Macaca fascicularis: one gene and its partner. The protein of the gene in region 2 purifies or fractionates together with the protein of the main gene of each other region. This does not show direct contact. Links are inferred from orthologs where the notes say so. Each region holds a gene or a part of one and is shown on either strand. Other genes may lie near its edges.

Region 1 (4,261 bases), on a different chromosome or scaffold from region 2:
TACTCCAGGCTGGGTGACACAGTGAGACTCGGTCTCAAAAAAATAAATAAATAAAAATAAAAAAAAAAACCCCACCATCTATTAAGGTATTTGCCTCTAAATTCATCTCCTGTGAAATTATTTTACTACTTACATAATTAGGAATTTAGATCTAGGATAAGAGTGGGAATTAAGACAACATTTTGGTCAAGAAGTGATTTTCATTTGATATTCACATTCAGAATTATAGCACTTGTAGAGAAAGTATGCTTTAAAATTTCAAGAATTACAAGTCTCCTTCAAGAGAATTTTTTTTTGTTTTTTTTGAGAGATATGGTCTTACTCTGTCTCCCAGGTGTGATCTTGGCTCACTACAACTTCCACCTCCCAGGTTCAAGCGATTCTCCCACCTCAGCTTCCTGAGTAGCTGGGATTACAGGCGCGCACCAACACGCCTGGCCAATTTTGGTATTTTTTGGTAGAGATGGGGTTTCACCATGTGGGCCAGGCTGGTCTCGATCTCCTGACCTCAAGTGATCGGTCTACCTTAGCCTCCCAATATACTGGGATTATAGGCATGAGCCACCCGCCTGGCCCCATTTCAAGAGAATTTTATCATCCACCAGCAAACGTCATAATCTCATTAAATGTTTGGCAAAGCCTTGCACAAACTTTTAGTGTGAAGGATCTATTGAGTCTAAATAGTAATATAAGGGTGCAGGTCATTTTAAATTCACTTTCTAGACTTTTTTCAAAATTTATAAACTGCTATTAATGGACCAGTAACTACAATGAGTGACACTTTCTTACTGGTGAAAACACAATGCAAAATATATATTTATGTGTCTATATATTTCTATACAGAAAAACAGAAAAATTAGGTTGGTAGCTTTTTATTACACATACAAGATGTAAAAATTACTTTTAAAAATTCTCAGACATATACAACCGTATTTCTTCCAGGCTGTAGTTAATAATATTTACTGAGTGCTTACTCCATGAAAAACTGCCTGGTATCTAAAATAACTCCTTTCCATCGCACAAGGTGGTATTATTCCCCATTTTACAAATGAGAAAACACACACAGAAATTAATTGCCCAAGGTCACCAGAGGGTAAAAGGCAGAGCTAGGTCCAAACCCAGAAGTCAGACTCCAAACGACAGGCGCCCGCCACCTCGCCCAGCTAATTTTTTGTATTTTTAGTAGAGACGGGGTTTCACCGTGTTGGCCAGGATGGTCTGGATCTCCTGACCTGATGATTTGCCCGCCTCAGCCTCCCAGGGATTACAGGCGTGAGCCACCGCACCCGGCCCAAACAATGGGTTTAATTGCTCTGTCATGCTACTTCTCATGCAAAGGAAATCTATCATCTCAATCATTCATTTTGCAGATGAGGAAAATAAAGCCTACATTTAGTTTAAGGCATTTGTCCAAAGTCACACAGCTAGTTAGTGACTAGAATCACGTGCCCTGGCTACCACTTCCAAGTGACATCAGCTGCCAATCCATAAGAAATACCTTCAAACCAATACAGGGGTAAGATAAAAATTATACATGTGACTTTTCAAAAGTGTTGTGAAAATAGGGGAAAAAACCACCAAACCTGTAAGGAAATATAACCGAAGGCTAACTGTAGGTAAGCATATGAGTAGTAAGACAATGGGTGATCTTTTTTTTTCATCCCTTTCCTCAATCCTTTCAGCATTTCAAAGTTCTATAATGTGCTTATGTTATAATTGGCACATATATGCGACAGTTTTGTGGAGACTAAAAACAGCAGTTGAAAAAAGGAGGCAGAAAAATAATCCCCTTACAGTAAAGAGATTTCAGCTACGTGGCTAAAAAAAGCATACTACTTCAGAGGTTCCGGAGGAGGAGAGGTAATTCATATTACAAATTAAATTAAAAGTTAAAATTTCTAATTAAGTAAATTATTAAACACAACATGCAATAAAATGTCGTTCACATTTGACTTTACAGATTTGGGATGGAAGGAAAATGCAAGGTTTCCTACAACCACCTACTTTAGCCCTTTCACTGCCAGTTTGAAAAGGAAAAACACTAGCTAACAGAGGTTGACTGGGAATCATCAGATTAGAAATCGTTCTCAAAACCATCTAACATTTTATTCCTTAAGGTAGAGGTATTAGTGTATTTTTAAAGTGTGTCTTCCAGTAAGTTGCAGAACTTCCCGTTGAAATTCAAAATACTATACGTTCACACTGGCATTACTGAAACTGCAGGAGTCGAGCTCCCTACTTGAATGGGGTAGCAAGCACAAAAATGGTTTTGAGGGAACCGAGCAGGGAGGGGCAGTGATCTGCAAGGCTGATTAATCCCATCCAAGGTTTTAAGATAGCTCTTGTCGCGGCGCAAGGTGCTGTGGAGCCACAAAGATGCGACAGAATGGATCCCGATTCTTCTGGAACTCCGGATCAAGAAAATATGAGGGGCGTGAGCCCAGAAGTGCGACGCAGGAGACCCGCGGAAAGGTGACAGAACTAGTGGCACCATACTCAGAAAGTTTGGGAGTTAGGGAGCCTGAAATCGCAGCAGGAGTCGTGAGAGGGTAAGTGACAGTCCCTTCACAAGGTCACAGGAAACGGGGTCCCAGGGCAGTATTCCCCACAGAGGGCTGGGTCTCTGGGCTGGGGCAGGCGACAGCGAAAGGGAGACGCGGCTCCGGGGCCAACCCAGTCCCCGCAGGAGTTCTGCCCGGAGGTCTGGGATGCCCTCGGCCAGGCCTCACCTCGGGAGCGGAGGATCCTGAAGGCAGAGAAGCGGCTGAGGATGCCAATTGCCCGGCAGGCCACCATGTTGAGTTGAAGAGGACAGCAGTAAGAGCGCTTCTAACGGGTGCGGCCAACCGGAGGACTTTTCCTCCCGTAGCCTGGCGACCAGGCGCCTGGCGCACTGCCTGACTAAAACCCAGACGCCGAGTGGCCTCCGGCCCCTTAGCTCTGCACCTCGCTCCTCGCTAACGGGGCCGAAAGGTCCCTTTCTTCGGTGAAGGACTGGGGCCCGGAGAGGAGGGGCGGAGTGCCAGGTTTTCCAGTCAGGCGGCCGGAGGGCAGCCCGCAAGAAAGGCCGTGCCCGCCCGCGGGGTGAGGGGTCCTTTCGGGGCAGGACCCGCCCCTTGGTCCGGCAGAGCTTTGGCACTAGGGCCTGGACCTTTCTCTGAGTAGGAGTTCGAGCGGACGTCAGCCAAGGTGAGACAGCGAGCCCTCAGCTCTCTGCCCGGGCTTTCCCAAAGGCGAGATCCCACTTCCTTCCCTGCAAGTGTCGCCGGTGTCCCCGGCCCCGTCCCCTCCCTGGGAGAGTCGGAGTTGAGGGAGCGGAAGGAAAATCCTCCTCGGACAAGGTCGGCAGTGTTAGCTGCAGTTAGGACAGTGACTTGGACTAGCGTTCCAACTGAAGCTCGGGACAGTGGTGTCACCTGCGCCCTAATTTATCATCGCAAGTTAGCGAAGTCTGGGTGTGTAGGGGTGTGTGTGGATGTGTGTGGGCGTCGGCCTTAACGTAACCCTGGTCTGCCTAGGAGTGTGTGTTGTTTCGCCTGCTTCCCCTGTACCCATGTCGGCGGCTATAGAGATTGTGGACCGCACCATGGGTTTGCCCGGTTTCTGCTATAAAGGATAAGACTAGGTCAGGTGACCTTTCGGTGCTTGAGTGTGGGAGGAACGGAGACAATCCTCCATCCCGCTCGGTTATCCAGGTAATCTTGTGCTCTCGGGGGTTTTCCGATGGATGACTATCTATCTGGTCGTTCACACCTCAACTCACTTCAGCGGTGAAGAAACTGCCTGCGAATCAGAGGGAGTGGTTATACCCATGGCCACATGTGGTAGAAATAAGACTGGAGCCTAAGTCTACTAAGCCCTAGTGAAGAGTTCTTCACTGCATGGTAGCTGTTTTTGTGCTGGAAAGAGGGGCTGGAGTCCTGCAATAAAGTGATTGGTTTCAAAAGGAAGTCACATTGAGAGCCTGGTGTGCTCTGGTCACCTTCATACCTTTTTGTTTAATCCTCACATTCCCCGAATTATTATCATTTGCATTTTCTAGATGAAGTTTGGGAAGCTCAGATTATATACATTTTCTAGTCTATGACAGAGCTAGCATTCAGACATAAGTCTGAGTCTCACTGCTCACCAGACTGACAGCTCTGCAAGACTGGAAACAAGGGGCATCGAAGGTAAGACTGAAATGAGGAGTACAGAAGCAAAGTAGAGACGTTTCTGTTTAAAGCTCAAGTTACATAGTGAGTGCTCATCACTGGGAGCA
Region 2 (3,647 bases):
ACAGCAAGACTCCGTCTCAAAAAAAATAAAAGGAAAGTAAAAAAGAAAGAAGGCATCTGGATGAGATACCTGTGAATTGTACCACGACACAGGTGATCCCCCTCCACCTGAAGCGCCTTTCTTCCCATTCCTACATCAGTGATGTCCTTTTCAACTTCAACACCCACCTGGTCAACTTGCACCTTTCCCACAGCTCTCCCATTGCCTGCCCTGCTCCCCTGTACACTGTGTCCTTGCATGGGCCACAGCACTCTCCACGGCTGATCTTGCCTGTCTCATATCCTGGGGCTTCACATGGAACACACCCGCTACCCAGATCAGTGTAGTGCGAGATAAATGTTGAGTAAAGTTGATCTGACATTGCTTATCTGTGGTCTCACAGTTTCTGGTCATGAATTTAACATGTTATTGGAGAAGTTCACTTGGTTTATAAAGGTATATCGTAGATTCACTAGATTTTAAAGCTTAAGAGGGAATTGTGGCCGGATGTGGTGGCTCACGCCTCAAATCCCAGCAGTTTTGGAGGCTGAGTCGGGAGGATCGCTAGAGTCCAGGTGTTTGAGACCAGCCTGGGCAACATAGTGAGACCCCATCTCAAACAAGCAAATAATTTTTTTTAACTTAAGAATGGGCCAGGTGTGGTGGTTCACCCCTGTAATTCTAGCACTTTGGGAGATTGAGGCGGTTTGATGATTTGAGCCCAGGAGTTTGATGTCTGCCTGGTCACAAAAAAATACAAAAATTAGCCAATGTGGTAGCACTTTCCTGTAGTCCCAGCTATTCAGTGGGCTGAGGTAGGAGGATCACTTGAGCGTAGGAGGTCAAGGCCATGGTGAACCATCATCATGCTACTGCGCTCCAGCCTGGCTGACAGAATGACCCTGTCTCAAAAAAAAAAAAAAAAAAAAAAAGACTGAAAGTTTGCTTTTCCCACATGGCCTAATATAATTTTGCTCAGTGTTTCCCCAGCCCAGTATATTACACACCTGAAGTAGTCCCTGAGAAAACTAGATGCCCAGGTGAAGCAAGACCTTAACATATGTATGGGTGGAATGCAGGGTATATGTTTTAAGTCTTACTTCTCTGTGGGGTTATTTTTAAGCTTACAGGGATCTTCAGACCAGGGAAGACATACGGAATGCAGCATGGCACAAACATGGCTGGGAGGAATTGGTATATTACACAGGTAATCTCTTAATAGCCATGAAATAACGCTTTTTGTCTTACTGTTTCAATCATGTTCTTTCACCCTGACACTAATAGGTGGCTTTTATAATAGTGTGTTACTAGGATAGTGAGTCATCAGGTTGGGAGGGGAAGGGAGATAGTCAATTTTTCTCTAATACTTACGTGACGTTTTTCAATAAAGCAGAATATCCATTCTTTCAAATATGTTTATCATCTGTTACAGTTTTCAGACCCTTGGATGTTGTAAATTGTACATCATTACCTTTCTTTGTAGATTTCTATATTGTCTGAAAACTTATTACACAAATAAAATTTTTTCTAAGCTTTCCTTTTCCATCAAAATTGTTAGTATCCCAAATCAGAACTTAATATATCAATTAAAGAGTGATTTTGAAATTAGATAAATTAAACTTCCTGTATGTACAGTATGTATACATGGGTACATAATACATGCATGTGCACATACATAAGTATATTATTAAACCCTGTTTGCTTGATTTTTATAAGAAAACAGTTGGCTGAATATAACCCAGTGCATTGGTAGAGGTAATCAGTACCAGCCATGTTGCATGGCAAGTATATTTCTGGCCAGGCGCAGTGGCTCACGCCTGTATTCCTAGCACTTTGGGAGGCCGAGGCGGGCAGATCACCTGAGGTCGGGAGTTCGAGACCAGCCTGACCAACATGATGAAACCTGTCTCAATTTGAGAGGCTGAGGCAGGAGAATCGCTTGAACCTGGGAAGTGGAGATTGTGCCACTGCACTCCAGCCTGGATGACAAAGCAAGACTCCGTCTCAAAAAAAAAAAAAAAAAAAAAGTATATCTCAGCCCATATACTACCAAGAAAATAAAAGAGTAATTTGTCCTAGAAAGTAGATGTTACCTTGTCTTTTAGTTCAAGAGATTATATAACATATAATTGCATGTTATAATTATATAATTTGATTTGATTTTGCTGCTTACTCAAAGAACGTTTGAGAAATCACCATTTTTCTCACAATAAGACAATACAGACTTTCCCCACCTCCTACAAATAAAACAAATCTCCAGGTAGCATCTGTTGTAATTTTTTCTTCCTTTTTTTTTTTTTTTTTTTTTGAGACGGAGTCTTGTTCTGTCACCAGGCTGGAGTGCAGTGACGCGATCTCGGCTCACTGCAACCTCTGCCTCCTGGGTTCAAGCGATTTCTCCTGCCTCAGCCTCCTGAATAGCTGGGATTACAGGCAGGCGCCACCACACCCAGCTAAGTTTTGTATTTTTAGTAGAGACGGGGTTTCACCCTGTTGGCCAGGATGGTCTAGATTTCCTGACCTTGTGGTCCACCTGCCTTGGCCTCCCAAAGTGCTAGGATTACAGGTGTGAACCATCGCACCCAGCTGATGTGTTGTAATTTTAATAGCATCTTGTAGGATGCCAGCTGATACAGGGCCCACTTCTATATTTCTGCCCTTGAGGTTAATCCTGTATATTATGTTTTTTTTTTTTTTTTTTTTTTTTGAGACCGAGTCTGGCTCTGTGGCCCAGGCTGGAGTGCAGTGGCGCAATCTCAGCTCACTGCAAGCTCCAGCTCCCGGGTTCACGCCATTCTCCTGCCTCAGCCTCCCGAGTAGCTGGGACTACAGGCACCTGCCACCGCACCCGGCTAATTTTTTGTATTTTTAGTAGAGATGGCGTTTCACCTTGTTAGCCAGGATGGTCTCGATCTCCTGACCTCATGATCCGCCCGTCTCGGCCTCCCAAAGTGCTGGGATTACAGGCTTGAGCCACCGCGCCCGGCCTAATCCTGTATATTATGACATTCTCTTGTTTTCAAGCAGCACAATCTGTCTGTTAGTGTCATTTACCATAATGTGTTTAGAAAAGAACAAGTGCAGTAACCCTGATCCTATTTTCAGTTCCACTTATTCAGGAAATGGAATCCAGAATCATGATCCCACTGAAGACCTCGCCGCTCCAGTAAAGCTGTAGAGTTTCTATGTGCCTACATACATTTCTGTGACAAGTATTTGTCATAAATTAATTTTAATTGTATATCACGTGAAAAAGAAACACTGAGGTTTAAGCTGCTGTATATAGCTTGTGAGAAACCTCTTTTCTTTAAAATTTACATAATCACAAGAAAGGAAAGAATTACAGTTGGACTGATTGTGACAGTGCCCTGTTGTCCTCTTTGAAACACCCCTGTGTTGTCCAGTGTACCTTATAACACTTAGCCACTTCTCCCCACCCTCCAGGAGGGGTCCACATTGAATTCTGAATCATCTTTTTTTTTTTTTTTTTTTTTTTTGAGACGGAGTCTCGCTCTGTCGCCCAGCCCAGGCTGGAGTGCAGTGGCGCGATCTCAGCTCACTGCAAGCTCCGCCTCCCGGGTTCACGCCATTCTCCTGCCTCAGCCTCCCGAGTAGCTGGGACTACAGGCGCCCACAACCGCGCCCGGCTAATTTTTTGTAATTTTTAG

The links. Proteins that work in one complex are often made in the same cells at the same time.
Region 1: the proteins of NIPSNAP2 (region 2) and HADHA purify together in Homo sapiens (affinity purification with mass spectrometry; 3 studies listed by BioGRID and IntAct, with this or other methods). This does not show direct contact. The link is inferred for Macaca fascicularis from reciprocal best matches to the Homo sapiens genes NIPSNAP2 and HADHA.

The regions. Positions count from the first base shown.
Region 1 is NC_088387.1:95,997,028-96,001,288, reverse strand, and holds the start of HADHA (trifunctional enzyme subunit alpha, mitochondrial), read right to left. Parts: upstream 2,832-4,261; 5' UTR 2,797-2,831; coding exon 2,730-2,796; intron 2,550-2,729; exon of another isoform or gene 2,358-2,549; intron 1-2,357. UniProt on the Homo sapiens protein: Mitochondrial trifunctional enzyme catalyzes the last three of the four reactions of the mitochondrial beta-oxidation pathway.
Region 2 is NC_088377.1:74,087,969-74,091,615, forward strand, and holds part of NIPSNAP2 (protein NipSnap homolog 2), read left to right. Parts: intron 1-1,102; coding exon 1,103-1,186; intron 1,187-3,084; coding exon 3,085-3,149; 3' UTR 3,150-3,647. UniProt on the Homo sapiens protein: Protein involved in mitophagy by facilitating recruitment of the autophagy machinery required for clearance of damaged mitochondria.